Linked DNA regions of Macaca mulatta. The protein of the gene in region 6 interacts with the protein of the main gene of each other region in a pairwise test. Links are inferred from orthologs where the notes say so. Each region holds a gene or a part of one and is shown on either strand. Other genes may lie near its edges.

What was found.
Region 1: the proteins of ZBTB43 (region 6) and SYT6 interact in binary tests that used the Homo sapiens proteins (3 or more experiments, as listed by UniProt). The two-hybrid records come from large-scale screens. The link is inferred for Macaca mulatta from reciprocal best matches to the Homo sapiens genes ZBTB43 and SYT6.
Region 2: the proteins of ZBTB43 (region 6) and ELOA2 interact in a two-hybrid assay, tested with the Homo sapiens proteins (2 studies listed by BioGRID and IntAct). The two-hybrid records come from large-scale screens. The link is inferred for Macaca mulatta from reciprocal best matches to the Homo sapiens genes ZBTB43 and ELOA2.
Region 3: the proteins of ZBTB43 (region 6) and MORF4L2 interact in binary tests that used the Homo sapiens proteins (3 or more experiments, as listed by UniProt). The two-hybrid records come from large-scale screens. The link is inferred for Macaca mulatta from reciprocal best matches to the Homo sapiens genes ZBTB43 and MORF4L2.
Region 4: the proteins of ZBTB43 (region 6) and PSMD3 interact in binary tests that used the Homo sapiens proteins (3 or more experiments, as listed by UniProt). The two-hybrid records come from large-scale screens. The link is inferred for Macaca mulatta from reciprocal best matches to the Homo sapiens genes ZBTB43 and PSMD3.
Region 5: the proteins of ZBTB43 (region 6) and AP1M1 interact in binary tests that used the Homo sapiens proteins (3 or more experiments, as listed by UniProt). The two-hybrid records come from large-scale screens. The link is inferred for Macaca mulatta from reciprocal best matches to the Homo sapiens genes ZBTB43 and AP1M1.

Annotation. Positions count from the first base shown.
Region 1 is NC_133406.1:126,086,681-126,090,791, reverse strand, and holds the start of SYT6 (synaptotagmin-6), read right to left. Parts: upstream 2,801-4,111; 5' UTR 2,394-2,800; coding exon 2,231-2,393; intron 1-2,230.
Region 2 is NC_133423.1:45,344,822-45,348,825, forward strand, and holds ELOA2 (elongin-A2), read left to right. Parts: upstream 1-1,236; coding exon 1,237-3,504; downstream 3,505-4,004. UniProt on the Homo sapiens protein: SIII, also known as elongin, is a general transcription elongation factor that increases the RNA polymerase II transcription elongation past template-encoded arresting sites.
Region 3 is NC_133426.1:110,318,700-110,322,723, reverse strand, and holds the start of MORF4L2 (mortality factor 4-like protein 2), read left to right. Parts: upstream 1-1,224; 5' UTR 1,225-1,289; intron 1,290-2,553; exon of another isoform or gene 2,554-2,630; intron 2,631-3,990; 5' UTR 3,991-4,024. UniProt on the Homo sapiens protein: Component of the NuA4 histone acetyltransferase complex which is involved in transcriptional activation of select genes principally by acetylation of nucleosomal histone H4 and H2A.
Region 4 is NC_133421.1:64,333,755-64,337,717, forward strand, and holds the start of PSMD3 (26S proteasome non-ATPase regulatory subunit 3), read left to right. Parts: upstream 1-1,163; 5' UTR 1,164-1,233; coding exon 1,234-1,453; exon of another isoform or gene 1,454-2,862; intron 2,863-3,910; exon of another isoform or gene 3,911-3,963.
Region 5 is NC_133424.1:16,699,891-16,703,390, reverse strand, and holds part of AP1M1 (AP-1 complex subunit mu-1), read right to left. Parts: intron 946-3,500; coding exon 819-945; intron 1-818. UniProt on the Homo sapiens protein: Subunit of clathrin-associated adaptor protein complex 1 that plays a role in protein sorting in the trans-Golgi network (TGN) and endosomes.
Region 6 is NC_133420.1:20,888,874-20,892,373, forward strand, and holds part of ZBTB43 (zinc finger and BTB domain-containing protein 43), read right to left. Parts: 5' UTR 3,490-3,500; coding exon 2,086-3,489; 3' UTR 1-2,085. UniProt on the Homo sapiens protein: May be involved in transcriptional regulation.

The DNA.
Region 1 (4,111 bases), on a different chromosome or scaffold from region 6:
AAGGCATAGTAATTCATCTGGGCCTGCTGACTCTCACCCCTCAGGCTTTTCTCACCCTCAACCTGGCCATCCAGGCACCTGTCATTGCAGATGATGGGTATCCCTCTGGAGTCAGAACACCAGTGCTTCCCCCTACCAAGATGTGCTGCGTACATACAGCCCTGCCCCACTGCCAGCAACTTCCACCCTCACCCCTGGCATTTCTGCCCTGAACAGACAGGAGAGGCAGCTTCCATCCCAGGTGGAACTCCACAGGTATGTTCTCACCCTGTAGGCTCTGAGGGTCAGGACCAGCATTAAGGCCCCGCTGGAGATGGATCCTTGGTGGAAAAGATGGAAGGGAGCTGGGGAGTAGGGAGAGGCAGGAAGAGACTCCCTGATAGGGAAAATTCTGTGTCTGGTGGGTATGGGGAAACGGGTGGTGTGGGAGGGGATGGCACCAGAGAACCAGAGTCTTATAATAATAACTTGTTAGGCCTAACGTGTTCTGCGAATCTCCAAGGCAGGGAATCAACTTCCCCAACCTCCATCTCCATACTACCCTCTAAAAGTTCTTCTTTATGTCTAACCTCAGTCCCTTCTGCTGCAGTGATCAAGCCATTGACTAAACATTGCCACAACTAGGGAGAGCAGCGCCTCCTACGACCCTCACGGGGCTCAGGTGGGCTCCAATCACCCCAAGGCTGGATACAGCCCCCTCACACACCCAAGGCTCCCCTTGGCCTACTGCCCCCTCCCCTGAATTGTTCCTCACGGGTATCTACCTCTATATACGACCTTTAACCTCAAGTGAAAGGACCCTGGGACCTGCAGCCGCTGGGGAGTTTACCCCACCTATACCTGCTCCTGGAACCGCCGGTCCCTGGCATCTCGTCCCTGGAGCAGGGCGTGGGGACCAAATTCCCGCCTCTGGCAGCCCCTGTCTCCCCTTCCCGCGCCAGCGATGCGGAGCCACTGGGCAACTCCCGAGTACTCCTAGGCCCAGCCCTACTGGAGTCGGGGTCGGGGAACAAGGAGGAATGGAGCCCGCAGAGCCTCCTGGAACCCCGGTGCCCTGGTCCCTGCAGGATCTCCCCACCCCCACTCCGCATTCTCTCCAGGCCTCTCACCCCCCCAGCCCCTCCACCACGGAGGGGACACGACCCCGTACTCCCTCCCGCCCGGGACCCTCCAGACGTCGGGACAAAGAAGCCCCGCGGCAGCCGGCGAGCGTGACTGCAGGGCACTGGTGCAGCAGGTAAATACCCGGGGCCGGCCGCCACGTCGCCGACCCTCCCGCAGCTGCCGCCGCCAGGGCGCGACACGCCATTCCCGCTGTCGCGACTCCCCGGAGACACCGCAGCTGCGCGCCGGGGTCCAGCCCGGCGGGGATCGGGCTCGGGACTCACCCGCTCCGGCGAGCTCGACTCGGCTCGGGCTCCCGCCTCGGCTAGGCGGCCGCCTGGGGCTGCGTCCGGCGCAGGGTCCGCGCGGCTTGGGCAGGAGGCGCCCTCTTGGCAAAGTCGGCGAGAGGCGCCCGCTCAGTCGCGCACCCGCCCCGAGTCCGAGTCCGAGAGGGACGGAGGGAGCGAGTTATAGGGGCGAGGGGGGTGGGGGAAGGACGCCGCAACACCCTCATACCCTCCCCCACCCCGCCCCCCGTCCCCCGCCCCCCAGCGGAGACGCGGAAAACCACTCGCAGCTGGAGAGACACCCGGACACAAAGACCTCGTGCCAGCCGCAGACCCAAGTTTCTCCCGGAGAGACCGGGGGTCCGCCCGCGTTCACCGCGAGAACACGCACACGGACGGACAGACCGACGCACGGACCCCGGGACCTCGACACTTGCTAGGAGGCGAGCTCTCTTCCTTAGCCGGGCGCCCCTTGTCTCCCGCTCTCCATGGACCCCTCTCCTGGTAGATTGCCCGCAGAGCGAGCTTGGAGATGCGAGGGAAACTGAAGCCCCGAGGGTGCCCGGTCCTGGGAGCCTGGCTGTCTGCGGGGTCCCCCGCAGTCCGCAGTAGTAATACGGGAGGGCCAGGGGGGTTCTACCCCCACCCCCGGTCCCCTTCGGGTCTCTCCTGGCTGTGCAAGCGATGGGTCAGGGGGCTGGACGAGGCTGGCTCCCAATCCAGAATCCCTAGCTGGAGAGTTCTCGCTAGGTTCTGGGGCTCCTGGGACCGGGACTTTGGGGAAGGGAGACCTCAGGACGGATATCCAGGAAGGGAAGGGGCCCTGGGTCTCCCGTTACCTGCGCCTGCCGCGCTGGGACTCCGTTCTGGGGGCTGCAGCTCGAAGCTCCGACAAGTCTCCACGTCCAGCCCGAGAGGGGGCGGCCGGGCCCGGCACAGCGAGGTGAGGACCGCGAGCGCCTCCTGGCACCGAGGCCCGCCGGCCCCCCACACCCCGCTCATGCCCCAGACACCCAGGCCTGCCGAGCAGCAGCTCGAACCCGCGCCGCGGCCGGACTGGGGCGGGGCACAACGGCCCCAAGAAGACCCTCCCTGCAGCGGCCCCCTGCGGCTCCGCTCTGCTTTTAATCACTTCCCCGCAGGGTCCCCGCCCCTCACGTGGCATCCCGCGGCAGCTGGCAAGTCTGGCGCCTCGCGGCCGCCCCCTCTACACTCAGGGACTGGTCTGAGTCCGGGGAGTAGGGGGTTCGAGGCGGGGAGCCGGGCTGTCCCGAATCTCAGAGGGTGCAAGGCCAAGAAGGAGTCCGGGTTCCCGCTCCGCATTCACTGCCTGGTGTGACCTTGGGCGTCTCTGAGCCTCAATTTTCCTCTCCGTAAAGGTGGTGTAATGATTTTAAGTACTTCACGGGCTCCCTGGGGACAGAACGATCGTGTTTGTGGTAACACTGGGGAAACTGCCACATGCCGCACGAATGACAGGGAAATAGATAACCCCGTAACAGAAAGAGCGACGGTCAGGCTGGGTCTGGGGGGACCTTGGCAGAGGTTCCTGACGGGAGAAGTTAGACTGGTCCCCGAGTCCCAGCTTCGGAGGTAGAAGACCCCAAGACAGGCGGGCGATGCGAACTGCAAGACTTTCCGAGCTCCGCAATCCTGCGGTCAGCCGTACCCGCATGTTGCTATGGCGACGGGAGGCAGCGGCGGTCTCTCTCCATGGCAACGGGAGGGGAAAGTTTCTGGCGAATAGGAATGGGGGGCCATTTCAAGAGGGCGTAGGGCGCTCAGTTCCGCCGACCCACTTCCCTGCTTCTGTGAAACAGCACCAGAGATCATGTATCTTTCTGCCAAGCATAACAAGAAAGACAGAAAGCTAAACGGGAGGATTGAGGCTAGACTTAAAGCAGAGATCCCCTCAGAAACTGTGGAGTGAGGCCCAGGAACAGATTGGCTGAGGGGCTTCGAGGCTCCTCACTCAGCGCTGGAAGTCTATGAGCCATGGTCAGGGAGGCCGGGGGACCAGCGCCCTGCTGGGGGGCCTATCACGGGAGTCTCTTGATCTCCACCTGTCGGCGGTGGGGCCGCTTCTGTGAGGGGCTCGCCTGAAGCCCCAGACCCCGGTCCATTTGCTCTCCCGGAGCTGGGAAGGAAACTTTAGCTGAAGCCCCTGGAAACCGCTGGGTTGGTGTATGCCTGAGTGGCTGGCGAGGGAAGAGGGTCTTGCCTCTTCATTAACACGCTTGTAGGAAGTGACTCGAGCAGTGACTCACGTTCCGGAGGGAGGAGATTCGGAGCCCTAGGTACTGGCGGTCTCCACTGCGCGCCATCTGTGCCAGCCGGCCCTTAGACTTGCTATCCTCTAGCAGCTAGTGCCTTGGGCACCAAGGGCTAAGGCGAGGCCTGTGAGGACCCTGGCCCAGCCAGGCGGCTTTTCCACCTTGAGGCGCTCTCTGGCTCTGTCCACAGTGCTGAAGACCCAGTTGGTGCTACCGTAGCGTGGGCCTAAGTTTAGGGGACGAGGGAGAGGCAATTGTGGAAGGTTCACAGCTTCCACCTTGACCCCTGTGCCTGTGATAGGAGAAGGTTAGGAACTCAGGCAGGGACCAGGCAGACACGACGCAGGCGATACTGTGCAATCCGGGCTGCCTTCCTGCTGGAGGTGTTTGGTTGCTGTTCCAAGAACAAGTGGGACTCTGGCATCCCCATTCGCCTTCCTGGTGCTT
Region 2 (4,004 bases), on a different chromosome or scaffold from region 6:
GGTCATGGTAACAGTTTTGGGGAATGCTCAAAATATACGACTAAATGACTTTTTGAAGGGCCAAACCATCATTAAATGGGCTTACTAACAGAATTTTTGAGAAAATTAGCCAAAGCATGAGCAGAAAAACCATTATCAGAGAGTTCTACCTAATCATGAAAAAGTTCTTGCTGTTGCATTTCACTGAACAAAGGGCAGTTTGGCAAAAGTTTCAATGGGAAATCATGAGGCGTCCACCTTACAGTCATGATGTGGAACCTGCTGACTTCTATTTCTTTCCTAGTATTAAAAATTCTGCAAACGGCACCCAGTTTTCTTCAGTTAATAATGGAAAAAAAGATTTCATGGAAATTGTTAAGTTCCCAGAACCATCAGGGCTTGAGGGACAAGGTGGGGGCAAGACAGTGCTTGAAAACTGTCTTGAAATTGATGGAGCAGATGTTAAGAAATAAAATCAAACGGTTTTATTTTGGTCTTTTAATCCCAGTTTTGACAAATGTTTGAAAGTCCCCTCACAAAACATCAGTCCTAGGTAAAGAGTTGTTATCCTGTATTGGTTCTTCTTTCTGTGATTTTATCTTGCTGTGTTATTTTCTGTTTTACTCCCAAGAAGACTCAGTCTGCTTTTTTTTTGAATCCACAGATACGGAAACTGATATAATGGTAGGCCAACGGTAGAACTCAGTGGGGTGTGTCGAGGCTGAAATTCACCTAATCAACCTCTGGGGCACAGCAGTCCACCTGGCGTGGACCGTCCCGATTGTCTGCATTGTGCTGACGGCATGAGTACGTATTGGGGCGGGGAAGCCCAGGAGCTAAGAGGGTCAGGGCTAGAGCCGTGAGTGTGGGCCTGCCGTGGGCCATATAAGGCCCAGCTCTGGCACCAGAGCTGCATTCCGTGTAGGACTGCAAACCGCAGAGGTCACTCCAGCTATGGCTCCACATCCCGAGGACTAGAAGCAGGCTTGCTCAGCGGTCTGCAAGGACCGGCGTTCCAGACCAAGTGGCCCGCTGCACTGAGGACTGAGCTTGCTCCAGGCTGTGGTGACTCCACGTCATGAGGCCTACGGTCTGCAAGGACCAGCGACCCGGAACCAGTGGTCCGCTGCTTCGAGGACCGAGCTCGCTCCAGGCTGTGACTCCACATCCCGAGGTCGCTGCCTGGCTTCGTGTCCCGCCGCCCCGAGGAAAGAGCCGAGACCTCCAGGACAGTGACGCCTGCACAGCTCTGGTGAGATGGCAGCAGGATCCATTACGCTGCACGCAGTGGAGAAGCTGCAGGTGTATCTGACCACTAAGATGGACCCGAAAAAGCTAGAGAAATATTTGCAGAAACTCTCCGCCTTGCCCATGACGGCAGACATCCTGGCGGAGACTGGAATCAGAAAGACGGTGAAGCGCCTGCGGAAGCACCAGCACGTGGGCGACTTTGCCAGAGACTTAGCGGCCCGGTGGAAGAAGCTGGTGCTTGTGGACCCAAACACCGGGCCTGATGCACAGGACCCCGAGGAGAGCGCTTCCCGAAAGCGCTATGGGGAGGCTCTTCAGGACCAGGAAAAGGCCTGGGGCTTCCCAGAGAACGGGAAGGTCCCCAGGAGCCCACCTGACAGTCCTGAGCACAGACGGACAGCACACAGAACACCTCCGGGACTCCAGAGACCTCACAGAAGGTCTCCCAGTCGCGAGCACAGAGCCCAGAGAAAGCGCCGCAGAAGGGCCCCAGCTGATTCAGGCCCCCATCGGGCCCCTCCATTGCACACCGCTCCCCTCCCGACGCCCGAGGGCCCTGAGCCGGCTGTGCCCGGGAAGCAACCCGGAAGAGGCCACGCTCACGCCGCTCAGGGCGGGCCTCTGCTGGGTCAGGGCTGCCAGGGCCAACCCCAGGGGGAAGCGCTTGTAAGCCACAGCAAGGGACACAAATCGTTCCACCAGGAAAAATGCCCCTTGTGTGCCCAGGGCGATTGGCACTCCCCTACTTTGATCAGGGAGAAATCATCCTGGGCCCGCTTAAGAGAGGAAACCCCAAGGATGCCCTTCCGGGAAAGTGCCAGGGACAGGCCGTCCTCGGGTGACGCCAAGAAGGACAAGGAAGGGGGACCAGCTGGCAGCAGCCAGCATGTCCCCGCCTTGGTGGTGGCTCCAGACGGTCACCCAAATAGGCCTCATCACAGACACTTGAACAAGAAGATGCCCAGTCTAGATGGCCCGTACCCAGGAAATGGGACACACCGCCTGTCCTCTGAGGAGAAAGAGCAGCTTTCCAACGACCAAAAGACTCAAGAGGGGAAGCCACCAACGGCTCATGTGGGCAGAAGGTCCATGAGCTCCCTCTCTGAGGTGGAGGAGGTAGATATGGCTGAGGAATTCGAGCAGCCCACTCTGTCATTTGAAAAATACCACACTTATGACCAGTTGCAGAAGCAAAGGAAAAAGACTGGGGAGTCTTCCACCACTGCACTTGGAGATAAACAAAGGAAAGCAAACGATTCAAAGGGCACTCGTGTGTCCTGGGATTCAGCTAAGAAATTGCTTCCTTTCGAGGAAAGCCAGTCAGAGAGGCTGCAGGCAGCCGGTGCTGATTCTGCAGGGCTGAAAACGGTGCCCAGCCATGCCTTCTCAGAGCTCTGGGACCCCTCAGAGGCCTGGATGCAGGCCAACTACCATTCGCTATTGGATTCTGACTCCATGACCTCCCAGGCAAAGCCAGAAGCACTCACTGCACCAACCTTCCAGGAGGAAACTGCTTTCACTGGAGGCAGAGTGAATGCTAAGATGCAGGTGTACTCGGGCTCCAGGCCTGCCTGTCAACCCCAGGTGCTGACGCTGCGCCAGCAGTGCATCCGGGTCCTTAGAAACAATCCCGACACCCTCAGCGATGTGGAAGGAATCCCCTACTGGTATCTTGAACCCGTTCTGGAAGGGTGGACACCTGATCAGCTGTATCGCAGAGAGAAATACAATCACGCACTCGCTGGGGACACAGATGAATTATGGAGGATTCATTGTCTCCAGGACTTCAAGGAAGGAAAGCCACAGGAGCAAGAGTCTTGGCGGGAGCTGTGCCTGCGGCTTCAGGACACCCGAGAGCAGCGACTACGAGTACTGACAGCAAATATCCGATCTGCACGTGAAAACAACCCCAACAGCAGAGAGGCAAAGATGATCTATTTCAACTCTGTGGCCAAGACGCCTTATGATGCTTCAAGGAGGCAAGATAAGTCTGCAGGAGCTGCTGAACCTGAAAATGGAGAGCTCAAGCTAGCCCCAAAGCCTGGGGTAAGCAGCCACGTTCCCTCCAGCAGGGGCAGTGACAGTGGTGGCAGAGACAGCAGCAGCAGCAATGTCCTTCACCAGCTCCCTGAGAAGAGGGCCAACCCCTGCCTAAGCAGCAGCAATGAGCGCGTGATGCTCGCGGCCAAAACTCGGAAACAGGCTGCCAAGAAAGTGGCCCCGTTGATGGCCAAGGCAATTCGAGACTACAAGAAAAGATTCTCCCCACGATGAACTCAGGACTTGCCTTGCAGGTAAAATCTGGAGGGAGGAGGACCAATGCAAAGTCAATGCGGGTTGGGGAATGAAACTTCCAATGGACACCAGAACCTTTAGCTTGGTGCAAAGTTGAGCCTTTGAATTCTGTAGGTGTCACGTGCTGGACCTGTGATTTTACCTCCCACACCCAACCACTACCTCCCAGCCTGGAGGACACCTCAGAATTCAGAAGATATGAACACATTCGGAACAATTATCTTTTGGTTGTTCACTGATCGTTTTTAAAATAACACCCTAGTTGTAATCATAAATAAGGAAAAAGATGTGAGATTCCCTTTTTCCTTTCTTTTTTTGGAAATCATCAAGTAGATAAGAACTTATTAGACAAAAATTCACAAGCCATTAGGTGACACTGATAACTCCAAATACATAAACTCTTTATTGTCGTTGTTGTTGTTGTTTTAATAAAACGCTGGGCATGATCCTGTATTCATGACCCATCCTCCTTTGGGAGG
Region 3 (4,024 bases), on a different chromosome or scaffold from region 6:
TGACATCTCTACACATTAGTTTTCAATCTGTAAAATAGGACTGATAATATGGATGGTGTGTGAAAACATATACTGTGCATCATTTATTATTTTGCTTTACATTCTGTAGCACCCTCTAGTGGTGTATACAAAAATATGCATTGCATTTCTACTCTCCAAAGCAGTGGTTCTCAAACTTCAGTGTGTGCTGGAATCACTGGGATAGTTTGTAATAACACAGATTACCAAACCCCACCGTGAGAACTTCTGATTCATTAAGTTTGAGGTGGGACCTGAGAATGTGAATTTCTGACAATTTTTCAGGTGATGCTGATGTTTCTGGTACATCCAGGAAACACATCTTGTGAACCACTGCTCTAAAAAAATCCCTCTTGTGTACAAGTATATAAGATAGATAATTGAAAGGGGTATGATTTTTGTTGTTTGACTTTGATCTAGTACTGCTCATCTAATAAGGACTTGGTGATAAATTAAAAAAAAAATCGACATGAAGGATATAACACAGCATCTAAAATATAGAAAGCATACAAAAAACTGAGGATCACAGAACATAAATCATTTGCCCAGGGTACTGAGACTAGTAAGTGGTGGAATGAGGTTAACAATTAAGTCTCTTTCTCTTACTCCAAAGACACAATAAAGTCTATCAATACCACTACAGAAAATAGGGTGCAAACACACATATCTGATACAAATTTCAAGAGAAAAGGAAAATCAGTTTTCAATACCAGGGTCCAAGTTTTACTGATGAGTTCTTATCTCTTTACTAAAGTAACAGCTATCTGTATTTTCAGTTTGGGTGAGTTGCGAGCATTTGAAAAGGTGAGGAAAAAGGGTTAGGATCTTCAGCATCAGTGCTTGGGTCATTCATTAACTCTTTGATTAAACAAGGCAAGGACAAAAGAAGCGAGGGATGGAGAGGGGCCTTCCCCCCCGCCCCCCCACCCAAGGAGAAAAGGAAAGAAATGAGTAAAATTATTTGGATCTTGGGTCACAGTTCCCTGACTACTAGTGCTATTCACAGAAGCTGATTTTATTTTTTCCTAGGAATGAACGATATCAATGATGCCTTAGATATTAGCGTTCAGCAAATCAAGAAAGGGGAGGGGGGAGGGAAACAAAATCCCAGAATCCCAGGGACCACACAGCCAATCCTTTGCTGGGATTTGGCGGCATCTAGTGGCGAACTCGAGAGGTATAAACCTTACCCACAGAACTTTCTGGAAAATTAACAGTGCGTATTTGCCTGAAGAAGGTCAGTGTGCTTGCTTGGAGATCAGGACGCAAAGGTAAGAGCGCCCTAGTCACCATAAAAATCCGGAGTCTCTAACGGAGGGGAAGGCTGTCATAGATAGATATTCTCATAGGAAAATTGTATTTGTGCCAAGAGAACTGCACGCAACCTTGAAGGGAGGGGGGAGGTGTGGAAGAGGGGAGGGAGGAGGATACTAGACAACTTGAAAGAAGTCTCCCTTTGGAGTTGCTAATGTGACGATGGAAGGCTTTGGCTCTGAATCATTGGAGGGCTGTGGTTTACGACCGGATTTTGGCACAGAGGAGTATTTAAATCAGGGAAAGCCAAAATATTTCTGACAGTGCCCCTTTATCTCTGTTATTGTCGCCTTGCCTTAATTATTTATTTTCATTTTCATTAGAACATTTTCAAACAAAATACAGAAATAGATAACCTGCGCGCAGTAGCTAACCCCTCCCCGCAACTCCCACCCCAATCACGCACGCGGGCGCGCGCCGTGGCTCTCACCAGTCCAGACGCCAGGGGCGCACGCCTGCGCAAACACATCACCTCCAGCGCCACGAGGGCCGCTCACACAGCAACCCCAGGGGCACTCGAGCCTGCCCGCGCACTAACACACTGGCCTTAATGCCTTGCGCCCGTTGCACTCACGACCCTAACTCGCAAACACAGCAGAACCCCCCACTGCGCCTTTTTTTTCCATGTTCGGGGAGTTGCGCCACAGGCCTGGGGGCGTGGCTCCAGATTTGACCTCGCGCTTCCCCACTCGCGGGAACCTTAGCTCATTTCCGCCTATTTCCGCAGGCCACGTAGACACTTCCTCTCCCAGTGGGGGGCTGGGGGGAAACACAAACCCATAATGCCTCCCTGCAGGAAAAAAATTAAAAAAAAAAAAAAAAGGAAAAGGAAAAAAAAAAAAACCTTCTGGTCAGAGGAACTCTGGGTCGTGAAATAGGCCACGTGAACATTCTGCCCTATAGACTTATGACCCAACGGCTGTCACGCTTTTGGAGGGCGGGCTAAAAACCTAAGAGGGCGAACGTCATTGGCCGGAACTCGCACTGACGGAGGAAGAGGATTGGTTTGCTGTAGGCCTTAACAGTGAAGAAGCAGGTTGCTAGCACCCGCCTTTACTGCGGCGAAGTGTCATTGCTGACGTGGGGGTGGTTGTCCAATCATTTGGTTATGGAACATTCTAAAACTTAGACAAGACGATTGTGATTGGCTGAAGGGCATACGCCCTCCTCCAGGGTGACGTGTCTGCCTATGGATATCAGTTGCCAGAGAAACCTGGCTTTACTATGGCGGTTGGAGGAACGGCAGTGATCACACGTCGTCTGCTGGGAAGATCTGGATTCTCGTTTCAGGTTTCGGGGTGGGGGTGGGGAGAAAGGGTCGATGATTTCCTCTTTTCGTCGGGTATAGACGGGATTAGCTAGTTCCTTCACAATCGGTCAGAGCTGGATTCAGATTCCTGCTCGCCAACGCCCAGCTTGGGCAAGGCTCCTGTTCTTTCTGTGTCTCGGTTTCCATGTTTGTAAAATGGTGATAATAATAGTATCTACCTCAGAGACGTGTACTGTATAATGGTGCGTATAAGGCACGTAATATGAAGCCTGGCCCCTGAAGATATTAGCTATTGTTATGGAGATAAATAATACACGTAATAGAATGAGAAAAATTATAAATTATATAAATTCGCTAATTGTAGTGCCCTTTCTGCCATCAACTTCTTTCCTAGAATAAATTAAAGATAAAAGAGATATATCAATTTTTACCAATGAAATAATTTGCTCTTTGGGAATTGCCTCAAAATTGCAGAGATTGTAATTTTCCCATGTTGAAAAGTTAAATAAAAGGTGGGGGGGTGGAGTGCGAGAAAGAAAGAGATGGAGAACGAGAGCGAGCTGGAGATGAACCACATGCGATGAGTAGGCCTTGTTTGGATCCTGAATCGAACACACCAACTGTAAAAATATGTTTAAGACGCATCGGGAAAATTGGAACATGGATTCGATATTTGATGTTTTTTAAGGAATTGATGTCAATTTTTTTAGGCGTCACAGTAGTATTGTGATTATGTTTTCAAATTGTCCTTTTTTGTAGAGACATATACGAAAATATTTACGGATTAAATAATATAATGTCTGGGATTGGCTTCTAAATACATTAATGACTAGGATTTGCTTCAAAATAATCTAAGCGGTAGGGGGAAATGGGGAGGGGTATAGATGAAACAAAATTGACCCTAAATTAATAATAGTTTTTGCTGAGTGATAGGCAGTGGGTTCCGTATATTAATCTGCTTTCCTTGGTATACGTTTAAATTTTTGTATAATAAAATACAGAAGTCAGATATTCCCGTGAGCTTGAAAAAGTCGGGGGTGGGGGGGAGCAGTGGGTGGGGTTATAGATGAAACAAGATGGCCTTCAGTTGGTAATTGTTGAAAGCTGGATGATGGATTCGTGTAGGTTTGTAATACTATTCTTTTATTTCATCCATTTGAAATTATCTTTAAGGAAAAGTTAAAAAAATTGTCAGAAATTATATAAATATACAATAAGTTAAATTTGAAAATGTAGCCACAAGAAAGGAAAAAGAAATACTTGTACATTATTTATCAGCTTTGGTGTCCTTTGTGTGTGATGAAATTGCATTGGCTGATGTAGAAGAAAGCCATATCTCATATCTTTTTATTTTATGTCCTTTCCTGTCCTTTTGTTTGACCTTCTAGGTCACCATCAGAAAAGCTAAGTTTGCTGTATAGT
Region 4 (3,963 bases), on a different chromosome or scaffold from region 6:
GGACTTTCACTTATGGGAGAGAGAAAAGTTTCAAGGTAGGGAGAGAGTTTTTGTTTTGTGTTCTAAGAAATTGGGAACTATATCCTTCACCTTGTTTCACCTTCCCTGCAGAATCAATGGGGGAGTCCTTTGAAAAATAAGTGGGTAGAGTTTCTTGTCCAATTGGCTTCCCCTTAGGCACAGCACTAGGTAAACCATCATTCTCTCCTTAGGCACACTATTATTCTGTTCGCCATTTCACAATGTCTGTCTGGATGTATAAAAGCCCTCTCAACGGGCTCCCTAAAGCGTCTGCCAGTAGTGGCTCCCACCCTCTTTCCTCAACACTCCCAATCCACCGCAGCCCAGAGCACTGTGTCTGGTTATCTAACCATCTGACTCTCCCGTATACTACATTCTTGAGCTGTTTTTCACCCCCCTATTTGCTAGCCCTGGGCCGTACATAGGGTGGGCCCCTACATTTTGTTAAACTGGAGGGATTCTACGCAAATGCACGCTCACCCTGCAGAGAATTGTATGCCTTATCTTCAGCACTAAACTAAAATCTAATCAAGGAAGTCCGGATCCCATAGGATTCTTGCTACTCTCCAGTTCGGTTTATTTTAAGCCCAACAGCCCTAGCTTCACGTCCCTCCTTCGCAGCCTTCTTTCCTTCCCTCCTGCCGGATGCGCCCAGCAGCCGTTGAGCCCAAGCCCCGCGGATTTGGAAGGAGACCCCCCCATCGGGGAAAAGGGAGCGAACTTGGGCGCAAAACCCGCCCGGCAACTCTTGACGTTATCTCGCCCCGCGCTCGGATGGACTGTACTCACTCCACGCTGGTTGAGATGCTCTTAAAGTCCTTTGTAACCCAGATTGGAGCCTGAGGGGACCTCTCGTGGACGCCCACAGAAATGCACTCGAGAGGAACATAAAAGCATCACACTTCAGCGCTAGAAAGAAAGCACCAGGAACCCATACAGGCTCCTCCCAGCTCCTTCCTTGAAGCTCCTCCTTCATCCTGCACCTCGGCTGTTGATTTATTTCCCCTTTGTTGACTCGGCCATCGGCCTGCCGTGCCTGGGCTTTCCCAGAAGGCCCAGCGCCGGGAAGGGGTTTGCAGCTGCTCCGTCATCGTGCGGCCCGACGGTAGCCCGCGCTGGTGTGTAGGCCCGGCTCGGCTCCTGGTCCCCGGTGCTACGGTTCACGCGAGGCCCCGGCCTCGGTCCCCGGACTAGGCCGTGACCCCGGGTGCCATGAAGCAGGAGGGCTCGGCGCGGCGCCGCGGCGCGGACAAGGCGAAACCGCCGCCCGGCGGCGGAGAACAAGAACCCCCACTGCCCCCGGCCCCCCAGGATGTGGAGATGAAAGAGGAGGCGGCGACGGGTGGCGGGTCAACGGGGGAGGCAGACGGCAAGACGGCGGCGGCAGCAGCTGAGCACTCCCAGCGAGAGCTAGACACTGTCACCTTGGAGGGTACGGGAGCCCAAGCCGGGAACGTGCCGCGATCACGGGTGACAGCGACCCCTGTGATTCGGCTTCTCGCTGGGAAGCCAGAGCAGCCTCCACAACCCTCAGTTCCTTGGGATTACCCCCAGATACCTGCCCCCGCTACCCTGACACTTCCGACTCCAGGCCCAATGACTGAACCCTTCTCTCCAGGCTGGGAACCACTCCCCTCCCATCCCCTCCATCCCCATATCTGGGGTTGCATCTATATCTAGGTTCCACTGGGCCTGGGGACTCCTTCTTCTAAGTCCTCCCCTTTCTAAGCCCTCCCCTCTGACCTATTCCATTTATATCCCACCTGACTGATTTTAGCGCCTCCAATATATGACTGATTGATCCCGCTAGAAACCAGTGTTTGTGTCTACGTGTGTAAACAGGGCCGGAATGACCTAGAATATCGACTCCTGATTTTTAAAACTGTACAGCAGATTTTTGTTGTCCTAGCTGCCTTTAGCACACTCCCCCGAATGAACCATTTCGACCTAGTATCTTGTTTCCTATTTCTCTAACTGAAGTATCCCCACAGTCCCTTTGCTGTCTCCTTCTCCCTTCAGGTCCCTACTGCCCCTCTGTTTCTAAAGGGTCTAAGTACACACACACTTAAAACTTTTCGGGTGTCATCTTTGGTTTTGTAATACTAACCTTTGGCCTAAACTGCTGTACACCAGTGTCTCCTATTTCTTTTCTCCGAGGTTCCTGTTTCAAGTATCCGTAGTCCTCTTGTTCCTCCAAGTTCATGTTTTACTTTTCCCACTTAGAGCATCCTGTCTCCATTTGAAGTGGGTAAAGTGAGAGCTTCCCACTGTGATCCTGGTGCCGTTTTCGTGGTTCTGGATCAAGTGGGACCACACTACTTACTAGGTTTTTTTTTCACTAAAATGCATGAGAAAGTAGCTCAAAAACATTGAGATAAGGAAAATTATCCTCCTAAGTGGTACATTTGAGGATGTGATGCTGTTGACCACAGCTCTTAACGGTAAAGTTGAGCAACAGGATCAATATTTGATAGACATCCTTTTGCCTAAAGTAGTGACAGCCAGTGTCAAAGGTGCCACTCAGCATTGCCTACTGGGTGTGTTTATTACAAGCACTTCATTTTCTTGTTGTAAAGTAATTCATATTCATTGCAGAGATTTTGGAATGTATGAGAAGTTAAAAGCAGGGGGAAGAAAACATGGTTAACATTTTTTCTTATGAATTTTTGAGCTACTCTCCTATAATTGAGAGCAAGTTATGTATATAGTTTGTATCAAGGCATAACTAAATATAAATTTTGAATTTTATGTGTTTTCATTAACATTCATAAACATAATCAGCAATTTATTCCAGAAACATTTGTTGAATACCCAATATAATGGTTAAGAGTAGTACAAGTTCTGGGCCGGGCGCGGTGGCTCAAGCCTGTAATCCCAGCACTTTGGGAGGCCGAGACGGGCGGATCACGAGGTCAGGAGATCGAGACCATCCTGGTTAACATGGTGAAACCCCGTCTCTACTAAAAAAAAAAATACAAAAAACTAGCCGGGCGAGGTGGCGGACGCCTGTAGTCCCAGCTACTCGGGAGGCTGAGGCAGGAGAATGGCGTGAACCCGGGAGGCGGAGCTTGCAGTGAGCTGAGATCCGGCCACTGCACTCCAGCCTGGGTGACAGCGTGAGACTCCGTCTCAAAAAAAAAAAAAAAAAAGAGTAGTACAAGTTCTGGAATCCATTCCCTCATCTGTGTAAATATGAGTAATAGTACAATACTTTATTGGGTTGTTGTGAACATTAAAATGCTTAAAACTGTGCCTAGCACATAAATATCAGCTGTTATTATTATATCTTAGTGTGGCCCAGATACCCTGTGCTAAGTGCTAACTATACAGAAGTACCTAAGAAACTACTCATTGATTGCATTCCCTTACTGCTTTGCATTTAAACTGTTTCTAGTTTCTTCCTATCGTAAATAACTTTGAAGCAATCATCTTTGTGCCCAACTTAAAAAAATCTACTTTTATAATTATTTCTTAAGTACAGATTCACACCAAAACCTATATACCTGAGTTAAAAAGGCTGAACATTTTAAAGATTTTTGATAGTTATCATCCAGAAAAACTGTGCTGATTTACATTATACCAGGAGAAATGTAGTTTTCACTGTACTCTATAATTTTTTTTTTTTTTTTTTTTTGAGACAGAGTCTTACCCTGTTGCCCAGGCTGGAGTGCAATGGCGCGATCTCAGCTTACTGCCACCTCCGCCTCCCAAGTTCAAGCGATTCTCCTGCCTCAGCTTCCCAAGTAGCTGGGATTACAGGTGCCCACCACCATGCCCGGCTAATCTTTTCATTTTTAGTAGAGACGGGATTCACCATGTTGGCCAGGCTGGTCTTGAACTGCTACCCTTATGATCTGCCCTCCTCAGCCTTCCAAAGTGCTGGGATTACAGGCATGAGCCACCGCCTCCCGCCTATAATTTTTTTAATGTTACTAATTTGGT
Region 5 (3,500 bases), on a different chromosome or scaffold from region 6:
GGGTCCCGGGGGGCAGGGCTGGTGGGTCTGGTTCATGCTGAGTCTCCAGCGACCACCCCAGGGCCCAGCCAGAGGACCTGCTCAGGACACGTTCACTGAATGATTGATCGATGGACTCGGCTGGGGGATGGCTCGGGGCTCCCCAAGGGCTCAGGCCCCGGCATCCACGGGGTCCTGGGTCTTCCTCGGTTTCCCACCTCACTGAGGGCTATGTGGGTGGGGCCTTGCCCAGCCCCAGGCGGGGAGCTGCCCTCATGGGCTGATGCCCAAGAAGCCCTCACTGGGCCAGGAACGGGGGCATGCCTAGCCACTGCACCCTCTTCCAGTGGCCTGTGACAGCTGAGAGGCGGGAGGCACAGTTTGCAAACCCAGGCCCTGAGCCCCTCTGAGCCCCTCTGACCCCTGCCGTGGGAAGTGTTACAGACCAGCGGCAGGAGCGAGAATCACCGTGTGTGGCCTTCACACAGCCCACACCTAGGGCCCAAGGTGAAGGGAGAACCTGGCCTGGGAGGGAGCGAGCAAGGCCTCAGCCTGAGCTCCAGCGGCCTGGGCAGTGCAGGGCAGGGTGCAAGACCTGGCATGTGAGGCCAGGTGATGGGGGCCTCCCAGCTGGACTGGAGGATTTCACTCCCCTGCGCCTTCTATGTCCCGGGATGGATGAATACTCTACACAGCTGTCTCAAGCAGGGTGAAATGCTGCTAAACCAAGTGCTTGAAACTAGCTTGTTCCTCCGCCTGGCCCAACCCTGCCCTGGGCTGTAATGTGCGTGCCCGGTGAAGCCGTCCTCATGGGCAGGGCCCTTGGCACAGGTACTCACGGCCCGTGTTGTCGAAGAGGACCTTGTCATTGAGGCCCAAGCGCAGCTCGGGCATGCCCGAGAGGAAGACCCGCATCTTGATGGAGCCCACGATCTCGCTGCGCAGGACGTTGCCATTGGCGCTGACCTGGGGGGGGTGGTGTGGGCGTGAGGGGAGGTCTGCAACTCACCAGCCACTGCCTCCTACCACGTCATGTGACCCTCTGGCCACTCCACTCTCAACGCCCTTCTCACCTCCAAGCCCATCTCTCTCCTGGGTATCCCCTGAGCTGGGGGAGTCCCAACTGTGGCTCAGGCCTACCCCCAACCCAAACCAACCCATGCCTGGCTGAGGGTCCCCAGGCTCACCCACCCCCTATTCCAGCCTTAACGCTGGGGCCCTGTGGACATGAGGTGGACACTGTGGGTCCTGCCCTCTAGGCCTCAGGCCACAATGGGGCTTGGTGATGCGTGCCTGGAGCCCCCTCTGAGAGTTCTCTCTCAGGCACCAGTCCCTCCCTCCTGAGAGCCCCCTGAATGCCCCGGGCCGACCTGGCAGCTGGTCCCTGTGCTGAATCAGCCTCGAGAGGCCATGAGCTCGGCTGGCCCCAAGCCAGGACCTTATGGTCCCTGCTCACCCAGTGGGCTGGGCTGGGGTCTCTTGGACCAGGCCAGACTTGCTTTTCTTGAATGCTGTTTCTCCTCTTGGCCTCCTGGGGAGGCCACCAGCCCCTCCACCCCAGGGCTTATGAGAGATGGCACTTCCTGGGTCCTGACCCCTTCCTGCTTCCCAGGGCCACCCTGAAGTGTGATAACACTTGATCCAAAATAATCAACTTAAATCCAGTCACAGTGGCTGACACTGACAGCATTTCCACCACGCCAGGCATCGCTCCACACACGCCTCGACAACCTCTGGGGAAGGGACCGTGCGGAGATGACCTGAGGGGCTGTAACCCACTGCGCATGCCGAGATGCATCTGAAAGTGCAATTAAAAATCCACACCAGGGCGATGGTCCTGCATCTCCTAGCCTGTCCTGAGGGAGCCAAGATGCTGGAGCATCTCTTCTTGCATCCATTTTAGAAGTCAGGAAACAGGCACAGATCGGAGGCCCCGTGCTGAGGGCACAGAGTGACAGGCAGAAAAATCGCAGGGGCTGCAGCCCTGGCCACCACTGCATACTGCCATGCTGCATGAGGCCATGCCCACACCAAAGGCCACCGACTTGGACACCTGGGGCCAGACGCTGGCTCCAGCCAGGCTAACATGGTGCAGGGCCTGTGTTTCCTGTCTGCAGAGTGGCAGGAGAGTCTGTGCAGTTTTCTGCATGATGTCCAAAAAGCACTGGGTAGACAAACAGACCCTCACCAGCTTGCCCCCTCTGAGAGAATCGGGAAAACTGAGGGGCCAAGCAAATGACAGCCTGGGGAGGGGCAGGGAACTGGACATGGCCCCAAGGGCTCTGGTTCTGTCACCTCCCCAGCCTCACCTCCTGGTGCTGTCCTGTCCTCATCTCACAAGCAGCTCCCTGATCCCATGGTGCACAACAGCTTCCCTGCGACTGCCTGCTTATCTGTCTCTGTCTCCCTGCTGCGGGAAGCCACGTGCGGCTGTGCGCTGCCATGTCCAGCACTGGAAACAGCGTGTGTGGCAGCAGGTGCTCAGTGGACACGCGGAGGCTCAGGAGCTCGGGACCCTCACCGGCCGGGGTTCCAGGAGCCCAAGCATTGGGATTTCGCCTGCCTCCTTCTCGGAGTGCCCTCTTCTCAACTGTGACAGCCCCTAACTCCCTTTGGGTGCTGCCTCCTCCTGAGGGAGTTGGGATTGTCCCGGCAGCCAGCTGTAACTAAACACATGAGGTCACGAATGCCGTGAAGGCAGGCCCAGGGAGTGGAGCTGAAAAGCCGCTCAGTCCATGAGGCTGATCTCAGCCCTGTGGGCAGCAATCGGGACCTTCTCAGCTGAGGTGTGACAAGCCACCCAGAACCGGTGCACTTCCCAGAGTGGGTGCTGAAGGGATGCTTGCTGAGGGCCCGGCTGTGTAAGTACGAGGCTCCACTCACATGATCGCAACTGGAGGCAAATGTTGACCCAGCTGCCAGCTCTGCAAGCCACTTAGGAAGGCGGCATTCTGACAGCTGCCTTTGTGCTGCCCCGTGTGGGGTGGAGCCACGTGCAGCAGCACACTGTGGCAGGGACCCCCGCAGCCCCAGCGCTTCCCTGCTCGGCTCTCTCTAAGCTGTCCCCTGGGACTTGCCTTTGCACCCCAGGGCACCCAGATTTGGGCTCAATAAACCATCAGTCAAGGGTCCCCAGGGGAGAGGGGAACGTGGTTAGCAAGGCCACTGTCCCGTCCCATGGCTTAGAAAGTAAGAAAGCGAAGAGGTCTGCATGGAGCGCGCTGGAAGTCTTTCCGGGCAGCACTCTCCTTGGCAATTCCGTGTCTGGAGCCTCCGCCCTCCAGAAATCCCGGCCCAGGTCGCGGAGACACCCAAGTGCACACGTCTGGAGCTGAGCAAGTGTGCCCAATGCTGCACTGCCTGTGGCCGTCAGAAACGGGCGCCCGAGTGACCTGCATGACTGGATCGGCTGAGCCCATCACAGTCCACCCACACCGCAGGGATGAGGCCAGAGTGAACATAAAAGCGAGCGGCTGGCGAGGTGGGTCGGCTGGTGCCCCTTCCCCTGCCACTGACTACAG
Region 6 (3,500 bases):
CAGAATGGCATCACCACTTTAGTACTGAAACTGGTAATAATAGAACAATTTCTCCTCAAATATAATGGCTAGGATCATACCTAAACCCCACTGGCCTCTACCATGAGAAAAAGGAGACATTAGGCTTGATTGTACAGTCCCCTCTGTATACATGTGTCAGGTACACAGAGAAAAGACTGCTAACCAGTAACGTTTCAATACTAAGAGAAGCTATTAATGTGGTAAACAACCAAGAGGTAATATCTAGTTTCTAGGTTTAAAAAAAAAAAACTCTCTATATATATATTTATAATAAAGTTTTAAATACAAAGTGCTTTTTATATATCGAGAATGATACAGTGTTGTGAATAAATCCCTGTTTGTAATCTTGCTTACAAGAGTTAACTGGTAAATAAGTATTTTCCTTCCTCTTTCCAGACAAATGTTTAATGAGTAAACACCTTGGTGTTAGGAGCTTGAGAATCAGAGGCCATTGCCAGCAATGTCTATTACATTACAGCAAAGCCAAACTTTTCAAATAAAATGTCACCCCAAATCCAAGAAAAATTATTTTTATTTTAAGGAAAAACGTTTTTATTTAGAAGTAAATAACCGAGTACGTTTATGGAAAAGATGACATAGTAGTAGCACCCTGTCCTACCCTGGTGATAACCTCAGGTACATTACACAGCTTAAAAGCATGTGTAATATACCTTTCTTTTTAACCTAAACCATCTAGCTGATGGGCAGAAAAGGTCTCAGAATAGCTGCTGGTTTTTTTGTCGTGTTTTTTTTTTTCTGGTCGGCATAGCTTTGTGGACTTGTAAGTTTAAGCAGCTTTATCTATAATTTGGGAGCATGATTCTGTAGACTACTTTGCTAAACTTAGGACTCCTTTTAAAAGCACATTCTGGCGCTCATAAAGAACTGGCAGTATTAGCTCAGTGTACCCCCTAAAGAGTATCTCCCCCACCTTGAAAGAGTGTATTTTCAAGATTCTCCTTGGGCACGTTTTTTCCCCTTAAGTATAATCACTCATAGAATCCGGCCTATCTGCCCTCTCACTCTGGTTGGTGGAGTGTCACCTTAGCACTCCATGAACTGCCGAAGTTCACAGGGAACTCTCAGCCACAACTTGGGGCTCCTTCCCACTAAGTGTGGTCATGGACCACTCTCTTTGTAAAGCACCATAATCTAAGACAGAGCAGGGGCTGCAGCGGCCCGTGGTACCGTGGTCAGTCACAGCAGCTTGGTGTCTACCAGCCACAGAGCAGACCCCACTGCATGGAGGCTACAATTAACCAAACAGGATTTGGGAAAGCAAACCAATGAGAAATACCTATCTCTGGCACCCTAGAGAATTACAATTAGATACAAATGTCCAAACTCAACTGTTAGAACTAAAATACAAAACACTGCCTTATCAAGAGTCTGAAACACCTTGTGACAGTAGTGGCATCTTACAGAAACTGACAAGGGCACTATGTCAGCCTTGTACCGTAAGTTATCTGTTTCATATTTAGAACGTCATTCTCTTAGCATCTCCATAGTTTTAGTGAAAATATCCTTTAGAAAGAATAAAACCAGACAACAGAGCTCTGTTAACCAATTTCTCATCCTAGGAATCACATTAGTTGTAGCTTTTACATAAGTAGCACTTCCTTCAGGGAAATAGCTATCAAAACAAATCCACATTACCTAAGTATCTATAGCAAGAGCAAAATAAAATTTCAGCATGACCTTGTAGTAATGAGTGATCCAAAGCTGCTGCCACCCGAAACGGAACTGGTGGGTGGAGTCCAGTTCCAAGTGCAGGTGTATCTGTCCACCTGTTTCAATCACAACCGGTCAGAAGGTTTCCCTTGCCAGCTGGGCGGTGGGTTAACTCACCCCATTACCCATTCCAGGCCAGGACTGGAACACACAAATTTGAGGAATTAGATTTTTTTAATTGGCCTACTTAGAGCTGGTCTTTCAGAAATATCTTCCTTTTTTTTTTTTAAGCTTCTCTCATAATAGCAAGTAGCACGCATCATCTGTGCCCAGATTTGCATTAATTACCATAGTTTATTTTTGTGCATGCCACTCAAGGGCCAGATCCTATTTTTAGTTAGCCTCAGTTGTATTCTGCTCAGCCTTTGCAGCTTCGTAGGACTTGGTACAAGAAGTCACATGCCGGTGGAAACTGTCCCTCCACATAAACCTCTTTGCACAGATATTACACTCATACGGCTTTATGCCCGTGTGAATTTTCATGTGGCCCACGAGGTGGTGCTTCATTTTGAATTTCTTACCGCAGACGCCACAGCCGTAAGGCCGCAGACCGAGGTGCATGCTCATGTGCCGATCTCTCTGACTCTTGTGAGTGAAACTCTTCCCACACTGACAAGGATACAGCTTGTCGGTGGCTGAGAATCCTAAGTGGGAAGCTTCTTCTTTAATCCCTGTTACCATTTCAATATTCTCACTGTAGCCTGCTGCGAGGGCAGCCTCCTGTCTGTGCCCAATGAGGTTCCCGTCCGACCTCTCTCCGGAAAACTCTTCCATGGAAGAGCCATAGAAATCCACCTGCTCATCATAATTGCTTTCATCAGCCTGTTCATCAAACTCGGCTTCCACTTTCTTCTCCCCAATGTGGAAGTCCTCCTCCACTCCCGAAGGCTGGACGGTGTGCTCGGTCTGCACGGTGTTGATGGACTCTGTGACCTGATGCTCGTCGTAGGCCGCGTGCACGTCCATGCCCTCGCAAGCCTGTTCTAAGCGCTCGGGCTTCACGTGGATCCAGCGTTTGTGAGCCATGATGCTGGGCTTGCTGTACATGGGCCGGGTATAGTGGAACTCGGCGCTGTCGCTGGCGCCCTCCTCCCCATCCTGGCTCGCCATTTCCGTGCTCAGGCGGTCATGCTCTGTGGACGAGTTGCTGGGCAGGTATTCGTGCTCGGTGAGCTGGGATGACAGCTCGTCTTTGGTGCTCTCTTCTTCATTTTCACCATCCCTCAGTTCTTGGGCTTTGGGAAAATCAGTATGACCCCCCGAGCCCAGCTCAAAGCTCTCTACCAGGCCATTGTAACTACTGCTGCTTGGTGACTGGTGGTCACTGCCATGATTTAGCTTCTGACAAAGGACTGTAGGGTTTCCCTCTAAAACTTCAGTGCATTTGTCTACCACATGCCACATCTGGAGGAAGCTTGCCGCTGTCAAGTAACTAACAATTTCTGGAGCGGGCATTACTAGACGTCCTGTATAGCTGGACAGGAGAATGTTCTCAAACACTCTTGGGTTCATCACATCAGGCAAAACAATTCTCCTGCTGTTTTTCAGGAGTACCTGGTCACAAAAGTAGGGTGAACTGGCAGCGAGAACGGCTTTGTGTGCCCGGAAAATGTGGCCTTGGACAACAATGGAGACGTCACATAATTGTCCTTGCTGGCGCTGCTGGTTCAGTTTCTGTAGGATGGTGCTGGAAAAATCAGGAAATTCTACCCGAAAAGAGTTTGCTCCAGGCTCCATTTCATCACAAA